3 linked regions of the Lonchura striata genome follow. The protein of the gene in region 1 purifies or fractionates together with the protein of each later gene. This does not show direct contact. Links are inferred from orthologs where the notes say so. Each region holds a gene or a part of one and is shown in the gene's direction. Other genes may lie near its edges. The genes, in order: KIF24, CCP110 and CEP97.

Region 1 (7,471 bases):
TTCTGCAAAACTCTTAGTTGTGCCAATGGTCCAGAAACAACAGGACTAGGCACAGACACGTACCATTTAAAAGGTGCATTTCATTTAAGCAGCTAGGGATTTTTTCTCTTCCATACTACCTTCTGAAACAAGCAAAAAATCTGAAAGCCAGTCCTTTCAGCAGCTGGGTAGTTAGTTCTCCTAGGACACACCATTTATTTTACATTGCTCAGAACAAGAGGTGCCACTACAAACAATGTATAAATATAACACATCCTCAGCCATATCTACTTTTGTTGAGAAATGTCAGATTTGGTTTTCTCATGAAAGCTCCGGAACATAAATAGAACAAGCCAAGCAATACCTCAAAAAAAGCAACATAGCAGGACCTGGGACATTTTAGAAGGCAAAAGAAGTTTAAGCTCTGTTTTTTCCCTGGTGTTACTCTATTTTCTATGTAGCTGGCTCCAAATAGCTATAAATTCACCACAGAGATTAACTGTTCCTCGGGTCTCAGATACCCAAAGTGTCCTTTTAGTACCACATCTGGGCTATGTAGGAAGTTTGTTTTGCCTTTGCAACGGGTCCCACTCACTTCCCTGCCCGTGTATCAAAAATGTGAACAACCTCTTACAACATGACATCACCTCAAATGTAAAATACATTTTTCTTTCAAGAAGCAGCTATGCAGAACACAGCATCTGATGTTGATACCTGTTGATAACCTCAGGTCTGAGCTCAATAAGTTGCCACATTTGTGCAGTCCAGTCTACCTGCAGAGCACAAAAAGGACTGCAGGCAGCACCTCACACACCACAGCTTTCAGATCCTCCCACCTGTTCCCACTGGTGCAGTTCTAATAGATTGAGAAGGAAAATGAACCCTACATCCCCTTCCCATCAGCCTCCGCTAGTGAAAAGTCACGGTCCTAGGGACAGAGATAAGGCTGATGAGGTACATGTGAGGGGATCCAGTTTAATCCCATAAGAGATGCAGCAGCTTCGAGACTTTATAAAATAACAAGGTACAGCTGTAGCTGTTAACTGCCTTTTGTGTATGCTTTGAGAGACACGTACGACTTCTCCTTCTAACTCCTGCCCCATGGAATCAATCCTAACATCACGTACATATTATCATACTGCATGTCCCAGGGCCACCTTGAAAGACCACTCCTATCACAGGTATTATAAAATGGAATAGCTTCTCTTCATTAAATTCCCCCAAATCATTATCAAGCTTCTATTATAGGCCACCATCAGATTCTGGTCTTCAATATCTAAAATCTGAAGCAGAGTGTTGAGGGAGGTGATCCCCCCCCTCTGCTCTGGTGTGACCCCACCTGTAATGCTGCATCAATCTCTGGAGTTCTCAGCAAGGGAAGGACATTGACCTGTTGGATTGAGTTCAGAGGAAGTCATGAATACAATCAGGGAGTGGAACACCTCTGCTTTGGAGACCAGATGAGTTGGGGCTGTTCAGTCTGGAGAAGAGAAGACTATGGGGAGACCTCAGGGTGCCTAAAGGGTGGTTGTTTATAAGAAAATTGGGGACAGACATTTGAAAAGGGCCTGGAGTAACAGGAGAAAGGCTCCTGCTTTTCATCTAGGAGAAGGAAGACTCAGACTACAGACAAGGAAGACTTGCTTTTACTATAAGGCTGGTGAAATACTGGCACAAGTTTCCCGGAGAGGCGGTGGGGGCCCCATCCCTGGAAACGTCCAGGTTGGATGGGACTCTGAGTAATCTGCTCTAGTTGAGGACGTTCCTACCCACTGGTGGAGGCTTTGACTAGACAACCTTTAAGAGTCCCTTCCAAGCTACATTGTTCTGTGGTTCTGGGTGTGTGAGATATATGCTTATGAGACAATTAGCTCCCTACCAAAATGCCTACAAGCAATTTAAATCACTTGTCCAGAATTACTGTGTTCCCAGGGCTCCTTACACAAGATTTCTTCTCACAACAATCAATCATGTCCCAGCAGATATTTTTTTAGCTTTCCACTAGGCTGCAAACTCAACTCCCTTAGATTCTTGGTGCAACAGAGGAAAGGGAAACACTGGGAAAGTTTTGTTCTTTCCCTGAATAGAAGAGCCTAGCTGACAGTGTTAAAAGATTTTTTTTTCCCCAATTTGCAAGTTCTTGTTTATGAACTGCTGTACCACACTTTTACCAAATGAGAAGTAGAAACTATCAGGACAAAATCTCAGAGGTAAAAAAGAGCATTCAAGAAGATCTCCAGGGAACCTAAAGTATTTCTGTGCTGCGCTTTTTCTGGTACCAGGGCTGTGACTGTGTACTAGCAAACACCGGCTCTGCAATGTGCCTTTACAGAGGAGGTGCTGCTCTCTGTCCTGGGACACAGAGTTTGTTTTCTGCTCTGAGGCTTCACTGATGACCAAGAATGGCTGGTAAGGTTAATTCTTCTATCTGTCCCTCTCATCTCTACTGCATTAGGCAAGTGATCTTCATCAATGATCTCCTGCATCTCCTAAGAACAGCGTATTAAAGTGTTCTATTACAGAGTTCAGTTGGCCTTCCTGAAGACTGTGACCACAGCCCTGCAGACTCTGATCACACATGGGTCAAACAATCCTGCACTGGCAACACTGCAGGCACCTGCCAAAGTGTGAGGGCCGAGGCAAGAAGGTAGAGCATCCTCTCATCACCTTGCTTCAGTCGTGTGCATATCTTTGTCAGAAACATTAGACACCTGAGAGCTCGGCTGGGTAACAGCCCCTGCCCCAACCCAAACCAGCCGTGCCCAACACTTTGTACAGACACAACTTGCAGAGGATTTCAGCCTCAAAACTGCCCCCTCACCTCCAGCACCATCAAACAGCACAAGCCAGCAGCTACTTTCAGGTGGTAACTGCCCCTCTAAACTGACCTCAGCCAAAAACCTCTCTGCAGCCTGACCACCAGGAGTGTTACCAGAACAAAAATCACCTTTGGGCGGGGTCCAGTGGTGGGTCCCATAGGATGTCTGAAGCAGGAGGTACTCGATGCAGTCAGTGACCTTAGAGCATGCTGCTGGCTGCAGCCTCCTGTAGATGATCAAGCCACAAGCTCTCACAGCCATTCCACTCTGCCAACTGCACCAGGAGCTGCAGAACAGCACAAACAAGGGACTCGAACAGACCAGCCGTATTTAGCCAGTGAACAGATCTCAGCACAGTAAAAAAATTGTCCACCCCTCTGAAGTCACCACAGAATTAAATTGTATATTATTAGCTGCCTTTGAATTGTAAAAAAATTTCCTTTTTTATAGAGAAGCATGAAAAATGACCTGTAAGTCATGTCTTTGCTGCTGATAAATTGCAAACCATATTGCAAGGAGGGGGAAAAAAATTACAAAGCAAAAGGAAAACCACAGATTAATACTCTGAAACTGTTCTACTGCAAAACTCCAAAGGCTCTGTGCAGAGGTAATAGCTCACCATTACTGGAACTGGCATACGGAAATAATTGCTCCGGGCAGTTTTCCTAGAGCACAGGACTCCTCAGGATATCAGAAGCAAAGCTGAGAAAATGAATGACAAAGGACAGGCTCTCTGCTGTCTCACCTAGACATAAGGCTGTCATACAAAACTACAAGTTTCTTAGCACACGTGCTAAGCACTGATTTGATGTGAACAGTAAGGAACACACCTCTTAAGTGACAAATATTGTCAGCAAGAAGCTACGCAGCCAGCATGAGTAGTCCTAGAGAGAAAAAGAAGCAATGGAAACGAGTAATTCATTCCACAAATCTGGCCGATTCCCAGTCCTGGGCAAAGCTTTGCATTCTGGCAGAGACGCACACTTCAGTAAATAACTGTACACAACAATGCATTTTCCTGGGACGCCAAGAGCGGCACCGTGACACCTCCGGCTTCCAACACGGGAAACCACAGCACGGAGCCCTTCGCCAGCAGCCACAGCCCTGGACGACGCTCAGCTCTTGTGGTCCACCACTTCAACCGCTTCCTTTAGTTCTTACCTAGCTCCTTTAGCTCAGGCACAGCACCCCCAGGACAAAGCCCCACTGCGGCCCTGGGGCCAGCCCGAGGAACCAGCACCACCTCCCGTGCGCGCCTGTAAGGACAAGGACAAATCCCAGCGGGGCCCCTCCGCCGGCGCCCGGCGCGACGCGGCCGCGCTGCCCCGGCCTCTCGCCACCCGCAGAGGGATGGGGACACTGGGCACGGGACACCGGGGTCGGGACACTGGGAACGCAGACACGCATCACCCCTACAGCGGCCCCCACGGACCCCCGCCATCACCTCTGCTTCCGGCTCCGGCAGCCGGCGGGAACCAGGACGTGATTGGCGTCAGCCTTAACCAATCGCAGCGGCAGCAGCGAGGGCGGTAGCCACGCCCTTCTCGTCCGGGCTCCCCCGGCCCCGCCCCCGCACCCGAGGAGGCCTCGGATTGGCCTCTCGCCGGCGGAAGCGCCCCACCCGCCCCCCTCCCCTCTCCCTATTGGCTGGCTGTGCGCGCGAGGCTGCGCGCGGCGTTCGAAGCGCTGTTGCCAAGGAGACGCAGCCGAACGCCGCCGAGCGGCGCCATGGCCGGTGAGTGAGGGGGGAGCCCCTGAGGGGACGGCTCCAGCTGGGGCAGGGAGGGCTCCAGGGACATCGCCCCGACCGGCCCCACCGGGCTCTAGACGGGGAAGGGCCGTGCTGGGACAGCTCCGGGAAGGATGAGGCATGGGGCCCCCTGCACGGCGGAAGTCCGGACGCGTGGCACTTTGTTTAACTGCACTTTTATAGCTATAAAATACTTTTCAATTGTGTATTTTATCTATTTTACAGATAGCACGTAGTTTATATAACACGTAAAATATGTAAGTGCAATTAAAAATAGATATACATTATGCAAAAATTTCTAAAATACTTGAGTACTATTTAAAACAGTGTTAATATATATTTTTATAATATCTATGAAATATGTTTTTACGCTTATATTTTAAACTTTAAATAAAACGTTGAAATTATTAAAGAAACCATGATGGACGTTTGGTATATCCTGCTGGGAGGATGAGCTCAGGCACGGTTTTCAAATAATTGGCACCCTGCCATAACTCGTGGGTTATTTTCTCGGCGTGTGGTTGAATATTGGACACTTCTAATATTCAGTATCCCTGTGTTGGAGACTTTCCCTTCTTTGTGCAGCTGTTTCTGGCAGCTGTCAGGATCAGCTGTAGGATGGGGCCTATTCTGCTGAGGTCACCCGTCTATAATTAGTATGGAGAGAGGAATAAAACACTCTGAAATACTTTTTGGGGAAACAAAGAAAATCTCTTATATTCATTTGGTTGTCAGCCAATTTTAATGACATTAATTAGTGTGGCTAGAGCAATACAATACTCTGAAATGCTTTCTGGGGAAACAAAAAAATCCCCAATATTTAGTTGCTTGTAAGGTGGTTTTAATGACATTAATTGTTTTAGCAACTTCTTCAAGGTATGTCAGTGACAAGGGAAACCCCCTTTTCTTACTTGTTGCTGCAAGCAGCAGACTTGTGCCAAGCTCCAGCTGTAAAATTGCATTAAAACAATTTAGCATTAAAACCTTTTCCTCCTCTCCAGTTACTTATGCTGTACTGATGCTAAGTAAGTGGCTATCTATCAGTGCCCAGCTTCCAAACAGCTGAACACTTGTTCCAAGGAGCCATGGAATGTTTAATGCCCTGTTGTTTGCGTGCAGGGTAGAGTAATCCTATGATCTTCCAAAGGGATCTGCTGCAATGTCAATCACGGTTTCACAGATCCCTACCTGTTAAATTAAACTAAAATTCTGGGCTCGTTTTACAGTACAGATTATCTCTTATTGTGGAGCTTGTCTTAAAAAAGTGCAGCTGCAGCCTGACCCTGTTCTTCACAGGACCCTAATTCCCCAGGAATGGGGTCAGAATGACTAAAGGTAAAGGGTTTTGTGTGGTGGTCTCAGAAAGCAAGTTAGCCATTCACTTTTGGAGGGTTCAGTCAGATTTGGTTTTGGATCACCTTAAAAAAAAGAGCTTGATGTTCAAAGGAATCAGGAATGAAGGTGGATGGGTAGTGACACAAATTAATACCTTTCCCTTTTCCCTATTCATTCTTTGCTTCTGTATTTCAAGAAACGTGCAAATTCTTTGGCATGGGCAGGACCTGTGCTGAAGTTTTTTGGGGGGTAAAATGGTTGCAAGTAATGAGTACAGTGTGCTGCTGTAGTTGCTATCAGGAGAGAACACCCACCTGCTACACATTTACAAACTTTTAAAGCTCTTAAGTTTTATTTTTATAATGTACTTGCAGAGCACATTATAAAAAAGTTAAAAGAAAAGAAGGTAGTGTTTATGTTTTGTATGCTGATTAACATTTTCTATGTTTATCAAATACCCTTGAAAATCATGACTAATAAACTTATTTAGTGATCAGGCCAGAGTTAATGTTCAGAGTGGTTACCTTAGACTATATGCAGGACAAAATGTATCATTTGCATTTGTGGCAATGTCACGTAAGATTTCTTCACTTTATTTCCCTAATTTAAAGAATAGATATAATGACACGTGTTCTCTCTCAGTGGTGACACTCAGGAAATCATCTAAATCTGAAATTATCACTCTAAATAATCAAAAATTGTCAGGTCAATATGAGTGAGCTACAGTGGGAAAACTGTCCATGTGAGGGTTACTCAAGTGAATGGGGTGCTGAGATCTTTCATAAATCAGAAGTTAATAATGATCAAGATATAGTGGTTCTAGGCTGCTTTATTCTTAAAATAATCTCTATGGCACTTTTACATAATGTATTTTATACACAGTGATTGACAGTCACCAAGCATCTTCGAAGACCTTTCCTCCACCTTGAAAAGTGCATTGAGAAGGAAAAGATCTTGTGAAAGAGGTAATTAATAATTTGAAGCACTTTAAAATGGAGAGTCAGCACCTAGAGTGTAATTTTGCTGTAAGTTAATTTCTTTCAGGACAGAAAAATGTGGCCACTGCTTTCTTTTATTTACACTGACTTTTCTGGTTTTCATCAGCTGTACAACCTTTGAAAAACCTGTATTAGTGAAGCTGGGGAAGAGTTCTCTGATGACAAGCTGTGAGCTAATTCTGTGGCTAAGCTGCTCCCTTTTATATATCATTCTAATGCTTTTATTCAACGAGCACTTACACATTACCAGCATCTGGAAGCCTTTTAAGATCGTTGTAAAATGTCTCAGCATAAGAAACAAGTTGTAGAGAATTCATGGTTGCCACATAGAGATGTCAGGCTAGGTGCACATGGAGAATTTTACCTCCACACTCTCCTTTTTCTCAAAATATGTTACACCCAACTATTGCAAGAAGTCCTTGTCTTTTATCTCAACCCTGTTTTAAGTGAAGCTACCCATATCGTTGTGGGGAACAAGACCTAGGTTTTGATATGAAAAGAACACACTGAAGAATTGCATGTTTTTCTGCCTCATGACATATTATTCTCATGGATGAACAAACAAATAACTGAGGAATTGCTGGCTGTTA
Region 2 (7,631 bases), on another chromosome or scaffold:
TAAGTTAAAGAAATTACATAGCAGTCATGCAATGTATATAATGGGGAAAAAAAAATAAACACACTTGGCAGTAAGAATGAGGATAGAGTTTTAGGAGTAATGTAAAATATAAAAGGTTTATTTAGCCGGTACTTTGCGCACAGATACCTGGCCAGACACCAACTAGAAGACCAAAGCACGTTTCTCTGCACTGCTTTCAAAAGGGAAGGAATTGCTGTAGATTCCTATTTGCATCTAATGAGTAAAGTAATAAGATTATGCATTATGCTTCATTTGTTTATAAAAGCCTTAGGCATTTGAACAGCCAAAAAGTAATCTGGAACTGGGAGGTTAATACCATAGTGAAATTCCCAGACAGGACTAAAGAAATTAAAAATAAACTTTTAGGAAACATCACCTTATAAACAACGTCTGGCATGAAAGAACAGACAATGCTGCTGTTATACAACTGTGGAAATTCCTGGTAGAGTTGTTTCAGGGCATCAACTGCCTGCAATTAGAGACACACAGAGATGTTATACACACACTCATATTTAATTTACACTGCAAAGTCATTTTACAACAATCTTAAAAACACTTCCCTGCTGTGTTGCCAGATTGAAGTAGAAAGGGAGAAGAAAAATAGCATCTTGTTTATAGCATTAACACAGAAATGGTATTTTGGTTTTTAGCAAAAGAATTTCTGTTCATTATTTACAACGAGTAGGATTCTCAGTGTTTGAAATACCCTTAAATATGTCATGGATATAATTTTTTAGTACTACCTAAGCTTAAGTTGAAGAGGAAAATTATTTATTGCTATGTTTTGCTAAACTAAAGAAAGAAATTAATTTATATAAAATGTTAGTGATGGATCATTTGCATCTGCCTTCACTAATGCAAATTATAGATCCCTTTCTGGAGGCTGAAGATGAGGTTTTGACTCCCCTCAGCACCGCAGGGAATTCCCTTTGCTCTGTTTCACAGCAGTGCTGTGAGCTGAGTGCAACACTTGCACAAGGCTTGGGCAATTTTAAGCTGCAGCTTCCCAGGACAACTCTGGGTGACACAAGCAGCAGACCTGGGCTTGCTCATGTTAAAGAAGGGACTTGGTCTGAGACCAACACAACAGCAGGTCAGAAACCCAAAGAAGGGGTGAGGGGAGGTGTCATGCTGCAGTGAGCAGTACCTGGTTTGCATGGCCTTTGACATCGAAGTAGATTGTGAGATTGTGATGCATAGACTCCACAACAGCTTCTCTCAGAGTTGGTACCTTTTCATCTTGGAACTGGCTCCTGTAGAAACAGAGAACTCCTTGGAATGCAGCCAACACACACCTGCACATACATGGGCCTGCATATTGCCACCCACACAGGGCTGATTCCAGCACAGTTTGCTGCTGCACTGGAACTGCAGCTGGGATCCAGTGCTCACAGGCCCCGTGTCTGCCCCAAAACACCAGCCCCAGTTCTTCACCTCCTTCCCCAGATCCCACAAATAAGCTTTCAGTCCCAACTGCTGCCTTCCTCCTGCTCCCACTGCACTTCCCAGCCCTAGTCAGAAATGCAGATCCTGGCAGAACAGGCAAGACAAGCTGAGGATTTAGCAGAAGCAGCTTCACCCATTGTTACACTGTGACACGAAATAACTTTCAGAAGCAGGCTAGGTGTAAAAGGAAAGAAAACGAACTTTGAAAAGCAAACTTTATTTTCTAACTCCCCTATATATACAACATATATATATATAACACAAATATATATATATTTATATATATATATATAACAAAATGACAGCAGATTAGAGGGTGAAACTACCACCTCTCTAATTACACTAGTCAAACTAACAGTTCATCAATTCTCTCTACCTACAAAGAAAAACACAAAACAATCATTATTTGCATAAACAGTGTGTGAGAAAAATCAGTTAAAACATGTAAATATCAGAAAGTGTAAGAACTTTTAAAAGGACTTTAAAACTCTCAAAAAAAACCAAAGTAACAACCCATCAATAAATCATTCCTGATGGGGTGACAGTTCATTCACTCCTGACAGTGAACAGCAGCTGTTCAGCAGTCACTGCCTGTGGAAATTCCCCCTGCATGGCCCAAGTGATCACCCTTCCAGTGAGACAGGGAAGATACTCCTTGTGCCACACACTCACAGGAGGCACCTCTGCAGCTCTGGAATTCCCTAATACAGTGTCTCAGGAGCACACACTGCGAGTTCTTCCTCTGAAATGGACTCACTTATGATACTGCAGAAGTTGCCTTGTTATCAAATTCTTTGTAATTATATATTATATACATATATTATATGTATATATTATGTTATTATATGTATGTACTATTATATTATATACATATATTATATGTATATAACATTTTTATCAAATTCTTAGTAATGTATAAAAATATTTTCCCCTGCATACCCCTAGGAAGGACCTAATCAGCCACTAGGGTCACAGTGAGGCCACCACCCAAAATCTGTCCAGCTCCTCTTTAACAGTATAAACCTGATGTATAAGATCTCCAAAACACAATCAGTCAAGAAATACATGTGAATAAAACTAATCTTAGAAGTAATTCCTCTAGACAATTCTGACATATCATGAAAATCCCAGCACCTTCAGTGTCCTGCAGTCAATTTAGGACAAGCTTATGTAGATATTGACCTGTTTCACATCAGATGCCTGTGGATTTTGTCCTTGACTGTGTTTTTTTTTAATGTGTTTCACTGTTCTTAATCTACTGATGAGTAAAGAGATATAGTTTCATATGCCTAAAAAATCAAATTAGAAGTAATTTGACTAAGTTTTAGTCAAATTTTGGACTAAGTTTTAAATTAAAAGAAAAATTTAATCAGTGACAGATCAAATCAATAATGTTGTTCATCTAGAATTATTTTCCCACTGTCAAAAGTGTAATTTCAGAACAGTTCATTTACCGTAGCCTGTGTTTCGCAGATGGATCAAGCTTCCTGATTTCCTCAAAAGTCAGGTCCTGCAGTCTCCCAGCCCCATCAGTTGTCCTTTCAACTGTGTCATCGTGCATGAGGATGGGGACACCATCTGCACTAAATTCAAGATCCAGCTCCACACCCGTTGCTCCATTCTCAGCTGCCTTAAAAAAAATTTTAAAAATCACAACAGAAGAGACAGCTTTATAGATTTGACACAGGTACAGCTATAATTAGCTTGTATTTTGGTAAAAAATAATAAAACATTAATGGACTTTTCAGTTGTCTTCATCTGCAGAAAAAAAGTAGGTTTTATCCAAGTCATTGCTGAGCATTCAAAAATCAGCTGAACCATCTAATCTATTTTACAGCTGAAATCATAATGATTCTGCCTCAGTCTTGGGATTGGAACTTTCAGGATAAAAATGCAGAAAAGAATCCTGCTCTCTCCTGATGTAATAACCCTGGAGTCCTTATGTTATTTTCTAAAAGACAAGAGAAGCAAATGTCTACACTTTAACATGCAGTCAACGCTGTTCACCACGTGTATTCCAAGCAGCAGATGGATGGCAAATCCCTGCTCCTCTCAGGAATGGCTTTATCACAGAGCAAGAAGCAGCCAGGCTGCCTTAGAACATTTCATACACCCTGTTCCTGCCCTGGATCTTTCCCAAAAGCTCTTTAGAAAAACATTTGAGTAAAGTGTTAACAACACCAATTGCTCTGAAGGACAAATGCCCTCCTGGGAAAAGGGACAAACACCGGGTACAGAGGTTGCCTCCAGGTGTCTGCTTTGTAAGGAGTGTGCAGCTTCAGAATTTATCAGGACTGAGAATCCTGTCTCACACAAAGGCAAGAGATCCTCAGAGCAGCAACGTCTCAGCCTCACAGAAACACTACATTCCAGAGACTGGTAATCACTATCTCAAATGATTCTCAGAAAGAGACTGTGAATCCTGGCTGTGCCTTGGTGCCTTGCAGATGAGGCAGCAGTAAGGCATGGCAGGGCTGCCCACAGTGAATCTGGCACCAGAATTTTCTCCTAAATGTGGATTTTCATCACAGATCTTCAAGGTTTAAAAAAACACACAACCAGTTCCTGACTTGCTGTGCACTCTCTGTGTGCTGTTGCTACATCAGGGAAATCCAGTATTTCATTACTGCTGCACGGCTGAGTTACCCATCAGCACCAAGGCTACAACAGTTCCCACAAGAGCCGGATCTGAAGTTCCCTTTGGGATGAAGGACCCCCCGCCCACCCAGCTTCCAGCAGCTCTGGAAGGACGGCCGAGTTATCCGGGCGAGGGCGGCTCGCCGCGGGAGGGGCGGATCGGCAGGCAAAGCCCCGGGGCCCGCGCTGACCTGTCGGATGGCCGCCAGCGTGTTCTCGGGCGCGTCGTGCGCGCCGCCGCGGTGCGCGATGCGGCCGGCGGCGCCGCGGGGCCGCAGCACGCGCTGCGCGCTCTGGGGCGCCGCGGGCTCCAGCGCCAAGAGCTGCAGCGCCAGGTACAGCCCGGCCGGCAGCAGGCAGGCCAGCGCCGGGCTGCGGCTCAGCGCCAGCGCCAGCACCAGCAGAGCCGTCAGCGGGCTCAGCAGGCCCTCCCCGTGGCACAGCATGGCGCGGCCGGGGCCGGGGCCGGGCCGGGGTCACGGCCGCTGTCGGGCCGGAACCGCGGCCGCCGTCTCGCCGACGGTGACGGCGGCGCCATCAGCCAATCAGCACTCGGCTGTCTGCCGCAGCAGCCAATCAGCGCCCGCAGTGTCCGCGCGGCGCCCGCCTGCCGCGCTGAGGGCGGGCCCGGGCCCCAGGCTCCTCCTCAGGTAACGCCGGGAGCGGCGTGCGGGAAGAGGCTGTGCCTGATGGACACTGAGGGGAATAGGGGCTGTGCCTGATGGACACTGAGGGGAGCGGCAGGGGCTGTGCCTTAAGGACACTGAGGGGAATAAGGGCTGTGCCTGATGGACACTGAGGGGAATAGGGGCTGTGCCTGATGGACACTGAGGGGAGCGGCAGGGGCTGTGCCTTAAGGACACTGAGGGGAATAGGGGCTGTGCCTGATGGACACTGAGAGAAACAAACAGGGGCTGTGCCTGATGGACACTGAGGGAAATAAGGACTGTGCCTGATGGAACACGGGGCACTGACGGAAACAGGGGTTGTCTGATGGAACATGGGCTCTGCGTGAAACAAAGGCTGTTCCTGATGGAACACTGAGTGAAACAAAGGCTGTTCCTGATGGAACACGGGGCTCTGAGGGAAGCGGGGTGTTCCTGATGGAACATGGTGCGGATGAAAGTGAAGGGTGCTAATGGAAGGAAAGGCAGCGCTGTCCAGGGAGTCGCAGAACACCCGTGTGGATGGAAAGTGTTGAGGGCTCTCCGCAGCTATGCCAGCTAGCTAATTAGAAACATAACATCCATAGTGATTATTTTCCAGCTGTTTGCTGGGTTTGTTATAGACAGTGTTATATATAGTGTGTTCTATGCAGCCGTGCCTGTCCGCAGGCCAGCCCGGGAGCCGTGGGAGGAGCAGGCGGTGCCTCCTGCCCGGCCAGAGGCGGCTGCTGGCCAGGGAGCGCGGCTCCGGCCACCCGACACCTGTGAACATCCGCCAAGAACCCAGAGGTGAGCAACAAGGCACGAAAACAACCGGTTAAGTGAAGGGTGGGGAACCTGAGCAGGATTAGTCTAGAAGTGGGATAGCAAAGTGAGGAACTAGCAGTTTGTGTTGATGTGACTGGGGGGTTTGACCCTCTTTGGGTATCTGTGGGAAGTATGGGAAGCAACTGACTTTCCAGTGAGGAGCTCTGTCCAACTAGAGGTAGAACAGGCACAAGACCATGTTCTGAATGGTTGTAGTTTTTTTTTTTTTTTTTTTTTTTTTTTTTTTTGGTTTAGTTTTGTTTTTTGTTTAAATTGCTGAGATGAAGATTTGTCACATAATGTCCTAGCTGGTTCTGAGCATCTCAGATACTCTGTTAGTGGCTTTGCGCTTCTGCCAGGTGTAGCTGAAGAAAAATCAGAGATATACATGCAATTGCACAACAATTAATGGGCTGTCTAATTAGATGTCTAACATACTTTTAAAACCTTTTGATAAACAATAGCATTTGTTAAGATTAAAGATGAAATTTAAAAAAATAAATCCCCTCAATGATCGCTGAAGAGGTAACAGATGATGAACTTATTTTTTGAAACTAGAATGACAGCTTTAACAGCTCTAAATGCTGGGAATTAGATGCGTCCATATATTTAAATTAATTATGCCTGGCAAACAAGTGTGGATTTCCCTTCCACCTGACCTGCCTGACAGGTGAGTGTTACCTGCTGCTGGACTGGCTAGACCGGCAGCTGGCTGCAGCCCGGGCGGGAGGGATAGGATGTCTGGTGATGCCCGCATGGATGCTGTCCTGGTGGATGCTGTCCTCGCAGAGCATGGCAACAGGTGCTCACCTTTATCTCTCTTATCTTAGCGTGCTCGCTGAAACTGATACCTGCAGCGGCACATCCACAGGGACCGCACAGCCGTGTGGTCTGTAATGGGATGAAGCAGAACAGATCACACCCGTGCTCGCAGGGGAGCTTATCTGGGGGAGCTGTGGGTGGAAATGGGAGCTGCGGGACGGCGCTGCAGCCCCTGTCACCGGGCTGGGCCGGGGCTGCCTTCGCTGTCCCGCGGTGCGAGCGCACACGGTGTCGGCGGCGCCGGGCCCCCGTGCTCTGGGGGCGGAGCGGCGGGCGGGGCGCGCCGGGCCCGTGGAGCGGCGGCCCGGCCGTTGCGCGGCGGTTGCCGGAGCTGCCGCCAGTCCCGCGCAGGTACCGAGCGTTGGACGGGCCCGGGCCCGGGGGGAGCGCCGGGGCGGGGCGGGCGTGCATCGGCCCCGGCTGGGGCGGGCTCCGTGCCCCGCAGCGGCGGGCAGGAACCGGCCGAAGCGGCGTGCCGGCGAACAAAGCCTTGTCAGGCCTTGCCCGGCGCTGCGGGGCTCGCTCCGGTGGGGACGGGCAGTGAGACATCTTTCAGGTATTTGGCCGCTTTTAAGGATACGAGGCTGCAATTTGATTTTTTTTTTTTTTTCTTTGTGATGTAAGTATTGGCGTCTGTTCATACAGACGTGGAAGCTCGCGGGAGTGAGACACGAATTCCTCTCAGCCCCCTAAACATATAAAGGCTTTTTATTTTTTTTTAATTTTTTTTTTTAATTCAATTGGGCTGCAGGTTTGTTTGGGCCGGGTTTTGGGGTTTTTGTAACAATTGATAGGATGTGTCTCGTTGTGGAAGATCTCAAAGGTTTAGTCTTTGATGGAAATTATCTATAGTAGGTACAGTTTTGTAAATCCTAATTATCACAATGCGTGCTTTCTTCTCTGTGTGCCCGTGATCATAATTTTTGCTCTTACATGCAGATTCTCCTTTAATAGGGGAAAATAAGGAAGAATTTTGCAGGCTTTGTTAATGGTAGAAAGAAGACAAACTTAATTCAGTTTTCTAACGTAGAATTTGCTTCCCAAAACGTAGAGACACAGAATTAGTGGTGTTATTGTTTTCCCCTTCAGTGTCTTGGAAGTACATGGATGAGTAATGTTATTATTCTTTGCAGGTTAGACAACATGAAGATGGAGGACTATGAAATATTCTGTAGGAAGCATCTTTCCAGAATCCAAGAAGAGGCAATAAAAGGAAAAACCTCCTTGACTGTT
Region 3 (7,881 bases), on another chromosome or scaffold:
CTAGATTTTGTGTTGACTCCACGGTTTGAATATCTCCCTTTTGGTACACTGTAATTTGTTTCTCTTCCATCTGCTTGTGCACATTCTCACAGATTTCAAGGACCTCTGACATGAAGAGATGCCGGGCGAGCATGGCCACTTCTGCCATGCTACAGAAGTCAAACGTTAATTCTGAAGTATAAGCAAATTCCAGTAAAGGCAGGAAACTGGACTTGCAGAAACCTACCAGGAATAAAACAAGATATTAGAGTAAGTAATGATGAGCTGAAATTACCCCAAAATATCCCATGATGAATACAACAATTCACCTTTGATACATCTAAGCCTGAAACTTAGAGCAAAACACACTTGGAAATAACAAGCCCATCACTGGCACTCAATTAATTTGTCATTTACACTACAGCTTTTTCCTCATGTAGTTTCCATGTATGGGAAAGCTCAGACAACTTTTTCAAAAACTAAGTAGTACTTAAAGAGTTTCACAATAGGAATATTTCAAGTTGCTGGGAGAGCCACAATACTTTTGGAGCAGATTAACTGAACCAAAGACTTTCTGGATCTGCTACATTCAGAAAGTACTCATGTCTTAAGTAACAAGTGATGTGGTAGAAAAATAAGGAAGTAGCTATTGAAAACAATAAAAATATGGACATATAGATAGTAATGCTGAAATATAAGAATTTGGTATAATCGTCCACAGTTACATAAATAATAAATAAAATATTTAATGTGGGGAACCTTCTGGACTATCCTACTAGGCAATTATTGTTCATGCTGAGAAAGACAGTTAATAAATGAGAAAGCAATGAAGAAGGCATATGTTCTGTACACTGTTCTTCATCACTACAAAGCTATTTTTAGAACATATATTTTAGCTCCTGTCTTTCATGTACCAGGTCTGAGAAATAAGCAGACACGTATAATTCTGCTTCACAGAAACAAGAAGCAATTTAGCATTTGTTAAGCTGAACTACTCTCCAAGCAGCTTGTCAACATCCCCACTTGATGCACCCAAGCATTCGACTTTGTTCCCTTTTTAACATTTGTGACTAATACAAGGAGGGAACATGCCTAAGCAAGGTAAAAATCCCTCAAAAGCTTCTCAGAAATTTTAAGGTTAAATACCACAGTCCATGGAAAATCAGATTAGGCAAAATCAGAGTGATCACTTTTGCATTACAATCCACACAAAATATTTCTAGATTAAAATAGAGAAAAAAGCAAGATAAAATTTGGTTGTCTTTAACACTCAAAAAAGACTGAATTAAATACCGTACACCTTACTTAGGATATTATAGATTTCTAGCTTTGAAACCCACAGCAATTCACCTGACAGATCCACTACAGCTTCATGACTAGTGACAGCTCCCTTTTCAATGAAGAGCTCTCGGAAGTACTCGCTGTTGGCTGCCAAGACAGATTTGTGAGCTTTGTACTCCTCTCCTTCAATCAGCAAAGTCACATCACAGAACTGATTGGAAAGCCTCTGCTGATTCAGCTGGTTTAAGACTGACAGACAATGTTTGGAAGATGACTGCTTCACAAGGCCCTTACTGTCAACCTGTCATAAACAACATTTAAGAACTTCATTACATTTAGATTGTGCCTTTTTAAGCATTCACACTGAAACACAGAAAAGGATTATTTTCTGCAACCATACAATCAGTTCAAGCCTGGAGAATATACAGCTTAACTTTACTATTGTTTTCTTTCTTTAAGTTTCACCCTCCCTCCAAACACAATTAAAACCAACTGGGAAAATGGGAAGACATATTCAAACAGCTCTTTGACTGTATTTTTCTATGTTACAGTCTGAAAAAGTTTCTAAATTCAAATGTCTTTTATGTGCATGTGAGCCTGCAGTTATGAACAAGAAGTTTACATATCAGTACAGCATCATGTGTTAAGAGAAAGATATAGAGCCCATAAGAATCGGGTATGTGATGTTTTACTACTGCCATTCACTTTACCTTAGATTCTATATGCGTAATATATAGGGTGATTTTATTTCCCAGCAATGGTGTCCTGTAATTAATTTCATGACATATACACCAGTATCCCATTTCTACATATTCGGTATCTTTGGCAAAATTTATAGTCTTGCTGTAACAAGATTACCACAACAATGGAAAAGAAGTACATGACCAAGAAAGCAGTAATAGAAAATGCAAATCTATTCAGCTGTAAACAGTGGTACTTACAAACACAAGCTCGTGCTTTGCTATTGGCTTCTTCTTCACAGGCTTTGGGGATGCTGCTGGGATTGATGCTGTGTTACTCAATTCATCATCTGTTTCATTACTGTCTTCATGAGATTTTGCATCCAGTCCTAGCTCCTCCAGCATTTCAGAAGGATCTGACAGAGATCTAGAACGATCTAGCTTTTCCTGGCACTTGCTGCATTCTTTAATGTAATCTTTAACCTGCTTAAGAATACCTAAAAAAAATTAATGGAGCTTGATTAGGCTTCTAATCTTAATTCCATTTACTGTAAACAAATAACTATGTAGAAGATTAGCAAAATATCAATAATAATCAAAAATATTACATACTAACCAAGAAAAATAAAGCGAGTCACCTACACTCTCCCTCTCTAATGCAATATTATCAATTCTATTGTCTCACCATTGCAATATATTGTATGTCTCTACTGCTAATTTGAGACAGAACATTCTGAATACCACTACATCAAGAAAACCCTCCTAGAAAGGTTATTAAGGCTAAAACAAAACCCAACACGGTATTCAGAAATTTAGTCTCATCATCCCAAGGTAATGACAAATGTAATGTAATCCTGTATTTAGCCCACACAAATGGCTTGCTCCTCCTGAAGAGGACAAGAATTGGAAGGCTCACTTATGAGCTTTAGCAAAATTGGGATCAACGGTGCTACATGCAATGACACTGATGGGAACTATTAATGCTGATTTAAAACAATTGCTTATGATTTTGGGATTTAAATAACTCCATTTCCCACCACTACTTTAACCAGTGGAACTAAATATAAATGAGAGCACCCAAGGAAATAGCCTGCATTTGTGTCAGGGGAGGTTTAGGTAGGATATTAACAACAGGTTCTTCATCCAGAGGGTGTTTGGGCCCGGAACAGGCTTCCCAGGGAAGCAGTCACAGCACCAAGCCTGACAGAGTTCACAAAGTGTTTGGACAATGCTCTCAGGAATGACTCTTGTGCCTTTTGGGGATGGTCCTGTGCAGGGCCAGAAGCTGTATTCAGTGATCCTTGTGCGTCCCTTCCCACTCAGCACCTTCTGCAATTCTGTAAATCATTTCAGACACTCAACAGGTCCTAGGTGCAGGGTCCTCTTCTAGATACCAAGGCATTTGCCACGCATGGCTTTCAATCCAAGTTCGTTCTCTTCACCAGCACAATATAAAAGCACGTATAGCAGGTGGCCATGATTTAAAATCCAGCACAGCTCAAAAGCTTTGCTGACCCAGACTTAAGACTTGCTTGCTCACATCTCCTCAGAGCATGACTTGCACTATCATTAAATACCTGTCTCTGCAAGGGTGAGGAAAACAGAGACTTAAGGCAAGCTAAGATATTAATTCCCATTTCAACATTTGTACATCTCCTTGATTTCATCTGAAATGAGACAGGGGCTGCAAATCACATCTCTAACACCCTTCCTGGCCTCAGAGCCATTCTCCAGCCCATGGCCTTGCAGCTACAGAACAGACACACAGCAGGCTGATGTCCTTCTCAGGATGGCAGCTGGGCCAAAGCTGCTGTCCATAGCAGCCAGCGAGTACTGTCATGCCTGGGAAAACATTGTCTTAAGGGAGACATATGTAAGAAACATAACACTTGAACTGAAAGCATGGAATGAATTTTAGTATTCTCAGTGTAAGAGAAGCAAGAGGATTTAGGGTGTGCAAATAAAGGTGACCAATAAGATCAAAAGAATACAGAATGCCTTCTCCTGACTAACAGAAGCTACACTGAGGCAGGCCCATGGAGAAAGTTTCCAGCACAGGATAAGAGTAGATGCCAGAACAGCACAATGCTGAGCAGACAATGAGAATGCAAATAAAGGCAAGGAAACAAAAATGGGTGTATCAGCTTTGAGATGCCAAACCCTTTCTTCACATGAAAATACCTTCAAGTCAATGAGATCTGGACTGGAGGGACTGACTGCAGCTAGAGCAAAATCCCTCCAACTGAAAATAGGGAAAACTAAAGCTGAAATTACAGACTTGCTGATGGATGAAGAGAGCAGAACAAGAGAAGCAATATAAACATAAACACACACTGGGCCCATGGCAAGTGAAAAGCAGGCTATTTGTTTCATGGATATCTAGGGCTAAAAGCAGAACAGCAAATCGAAAGGGAACAAGATATGGAGTCATTTCCTCAGGCAAAAGAAAATCCCAATTGGAAATGATTGCTGTTCAGGCACCAGCATTTCTAACAGCTGTGACATCACTCAGGACCCAGCTGAGAATTAGCCTGGTCTCTTCAGCGTGTCGCTGCAAGAAGGAGACAAATAAAGCAATGAATGCCAGGACTGCCAACCACCACTGGCAGCTGCAGTACTTTAACACGAACACCATCACATGCACGAATGAGGTCCAAAGCTAACACAGGTGACGTGGACTGGATTATCACCCTATCCCAAGGGCACAGTGGAGATGCCACTGCCTTACCTGGGCTGCGTGCAAGACCTGGAGGGGACAGCTGTACTCCGCGTTTCTACCTATTCAAGGTGCCAGCACCCGACCAGAAGCCTGGACAATGCGCTGACCAGATGCAGCGCGCAGGGTGAGCCCTGCCTCTCGGGCTGTGACACATCTCACTGCCACACTGCTTCCAGGTGGCGTTTAAAGGCTCTGGTCACTCAGCGAGTGACAGTCCCTCCTGTCCCGCCAGGGATGGGAACACGGAAGGGAGACCTTCAGCACAAGGGAGACATGCAACTCCGGCTACAGCGGAGGCAACGAAGATGGTTAAGGGACCGAATCATCTCTTTAGGAGGAAAGGCTGAGGGAACTGCGCCCGCTCAGCCTCGAGACGAGACGACTGAGAGGGGACCGCATAATGTCGGTAAATATCTAAATAGAGAGTGCCAGGAGCACGGAGCGAGGTCCCGCTGGTGCCAAGCAATGACACAAGGAAGGGAAACTAATGCACGGGAAGTTCCACGCGAGAACGCGAGGAGCTAGAACAGAACAGAACCAGAGCACTCGAGTGAAGGCGCCGGCGCGCTGGCACAGGCTGCGAGCCCGCATCAGGGGAGCCGAGCCGAGCCGAGCCGCGCCGAGCCGCGCTCTCACCTCTCCACCAGTAGCGCTGGGACAGCCCGTGCCAGGTCTGCAGGCGGGTGCGGTGCGCGCCGTCGGGCGCCAGGTGCGCGGCGCGGATGAGGCGGGCGCGGCGCTCGGCCTGCAGCACCACCTCCAGCTCGGCGAAGCGCTGCTGGTCGCGCTGCCGCCGCTGGTAGTACAGCGTGCCGCCGCGCACCACGTAGCAGGCGGCGGCCTTGCGGATCTTCCGCTTGGCGTTGCCCTCCGTGCCCGGCGCGTACGGCTCCCGCTCGTTCGTCAGGTACCGCAGGATGGCCAGGTAGCTCTCCTCGCTGGACATCGCGCCCTCAGAGCCCTCAGGGGCTGCGGAGGAGCCTGCCGGGGTGCGGGAAGGGGGTCGGGATGGGCCCCGGCCCGGCGGGAGCCGCGCCGGGGGGGAACTGGAGTGTCGCGGCCCGCGGCGGCGGGAGGGAGGGAGAAGCTCGGGCAGCGGCGGCGGCGGAAAGACAAAATGGCTGCTGCACAAGCGGAAGTGAGGCGGCGCCGCGCGCGCGCGGGAGGGGCGGGGAAGGGGCGGGGGGAGCGGGTCCGCCATCTTGGAACCGGGCAGGGGACAGCCCGGGCACAAGGCGGGGCCGCCATGTCGGAACCGGGCAGGGGACAGCCCGGGCACAAGGCGGGGCCGCCATGTCGGAACCGGGCAGGGCAGAGCACGGGCGCGAGGCCGGGGCCGCCATGTCGGAGCCGGGCAAAGCCCGCCGCGGGGCGCGGTTGCGGCGGTGCAGCCGGGAGCGCTCCCGAGGGAACGAATGCCAGGAATGAACCCCTGGAATGAACCCCTGTGCAGCCCCGGCTCCCAAACTCCTGCTCGGCGGGCAGGAGCTGCCAGGGGAGTAGTGGGGTCACCCGTGCCCAGCGGGAGCAGCAGCAGCGCCGCAGCCACGCCCCGGGGCGCTCGGGGCGCGCTGTTCGTCCGTAAGGGGCAAGAAACAAAGTCCTTTAGAAGGCGGCTGCGCGTTTTGCTTGTCCGAGCTGTGCGCTGGTTTTTACGCCCGTAACAGAGGCACGCCAGGCGGGAGCCGGGGGCTGTGGCTGTTTCCCATTCCCAGTTCCATTCCCCATCCCTTTCCCTGCGCTCGGTACCTGCGGGGCGCACGGGGAGCACCGCGGTCCCCACACACAGATACCCACCAGACTGAGCAAAGCCGCCCAAAAGCGCTGTTTATGTAGAAAAAGGGCTCTGTATTTAGTTTTTCGGATTAACAATGGCACTGGTCGAATACTGGAACAGGCGGCCTTAGGTTATGGAATCTCTGTCCTTGGAGTTGTGTTCAAGACTCAGCTGGATACTAAATCCCATCTAAACAGACGCATTTTCAACAGAGTTGATGTCCTTTTAAACCAAAATTATTTTGTAGGTCTGTGACAAACGTAGGTACGCAATTTCTCCTGACAAATACCTGATAGAGGCTCAACTACATTAAATTAGGTGAACAAGGGCTTACATTAATTTCCGTAACTCATTCTATTACATCTGTGTTTGAGGTGAATAAAGTGCTGTTTATTCTGCTCTGAACAGCCTGCCTCACTCAGTGCATAGCTTTTCAGAAGAGTAACCTGATGGGCTGTCACTCTTCTTCTCATATCACAACTCGGGAATAAGCAGCAAGGAAGAGAAATTGTGAAGCCCTTCTGTGCACTGCTGCAGTGACACCAGGCAGCCAAAGCCTGCAAACTTCAAAGCATTAACAAATACTAACTTATTAATTAGTCATATCTGCCAGTTTCTGTATATATCATTAATGGTATTTCAAGCAGATGGTAAAAACTCATCTTTATTTTCAGCTTCTTAGCTGAAAATATTCACAAGGACACATTCAGGGTACCAGGTGTCTTGTAGAAGACAGTGATGTGATTTTTATAATCGCCACTAGCACGGGTAATATTCAGAGGTGTTTTCAGCCTTCAGTATTAAATTATTATAATTCCTTTCCCTCCTAACTACAGGCAATTTTTCTTCCTCTCTTTTCCCCTCTTGTTTCTGGACCCTTTGCTTTCAAACGTGCTAACTAGCTTCCAATTTCTTTCTAAATAAGTAGCGCTGGATTTTGTTAATAGCAAAAAGCAAAATTGTTTGGAAGATCATGGTGCAGATTCAATTAATATCATCAAGCCAGACCTTTTTAAATGGGTTGTAGCCTTCATCCAGACCCATATCTATTTTACTAAAACCCAAACAAGGTGTTAAGTACAGCCCATAATCCACAGTGCCCATTACAGCCATTGTTTTCGAAGCCCAGGACTGCAGGAAGTTGAAACACAGCCGTCTTCTTGACTGGTCGTAAGGTAACAAATCAAGCCCTCACAGTATCAACAGAAAAGTAACTGATACAGAAAATAGTGAAGGTTTGCTTTCTGTTTTGGTTCTAGTTAATCAGGACATTGCTTTGCCAAGGCCATTCCTGTCCAGCAAAACCGGCAAAGTCTGGGCAAGCTGTCTGCACAGTGCAGTTACTTAGCAGACACAGGAACTCCCATAAGGAATTTCAATCCCTCTAGCAGTGGGAGGGTGGAAAATTACTAAGGGAGCCCCTAGCTGCATTCAGCAAGTTAAAT

What was found.
Region 2: the proteins of KIF24 (region 1) and CCP110 purify together in Homo sapiens (co-immunoprecipitation; 4 studies listed by BioGRID and IntAct, with this or other methods). This does not show direct contact. The link is inferred for Lonchura striata from reciprocal best matches to the Homo sapiens genes KIF24 and CCP110.
Region 3: the proteins of KIF24 (region 1) and CEP97 purify together in Homo sapiens (co-immunoprecipitation; 4 studies listed by BioGRID and IntAct, with this or other methods). This does not show direct contact. The link is inferred for Lonchura striata from reciprocal best matches to the Homo sapiens genes KIF24 and CEP97.

The regions. Positions count from the first base shown.
Region 1 is NC_134642.1:41,232,048-41,239,518, forward strand, and holds the start of KIF24 (kinesin-like protein KIF24), read left to right. Parts: upstream 1-4,426; 5' UTR 4,427-4,533; intron 4,534-6,765; 5' UTR 6,766-6,848; intron 6,849-7,471. Other genes in the region: NUDT2 (bis(5'-nucleosyl)-tetraphosphatase [asymmetrical]), read right to left, coding at 2,927-3,059. UniProt on the Homo sapiens protein: Microtubule-dependent motor protein that acts as a negative regulator of ciliogenesis by mediating recruitment of CCP110 to mother centriole in cycling cells, leading to restrict nucleation of cilia at centrioles.
Region 2 is NC_134618.1:10,063,068-10,070,698, forward strand, and holds the start of CCP110 (centriolar coiled-coil protein of 110 kDa), read left to right. Parts: upstream 1-4,629; 5' UTR 4,630-4,754; intron 4,755-5,422; 5' UTR 5,423-5,558; intron 5,559-6,663; exon of another isoform or gene 6,664-6,749; intron 6,750-6,831; exon of another isoform or gene 6,832-6,954; intron 6,955-7,531; 5' UTR 7,532-7,541; coding exon 7,542-7,631. Other genes in the region: GDE1 (glycerophosphodiester phosphodiesterase 1), read right to left, coding at 398-490, 1,169-1,274, 2,922-3,097, 4,296-4,550.
Region 3 is NC_134604.1:733,050-740,930, forward strand, and holds the start of CEP97 (centrosomal protein of 97 kDa), read left to right. Parts: upstream 1-4,871; 5' UTR 4,872-4,893; coding exon 4,894-5,065; intron 5,066-5,295; coding exon of another isoform or gene 5,296-5,605; exon of another isoform or gene 5,606-5,717; intron 5,718-7,881. Other genes in the region: ZBTB11 (zinc finger and BTB domain-containing protein 11), read right to left, coding at 1-222, 1,330-1,561, 2,202-2,437, 5,296-5,605. UniProt on the Homo sapiens protein: Acts as a key negative regulator of ciliogenesis in collaboration with CCP110 by capping the mother centriole thereby preventing cilia formation. Required for recruitment of CCP110 to the centrosome.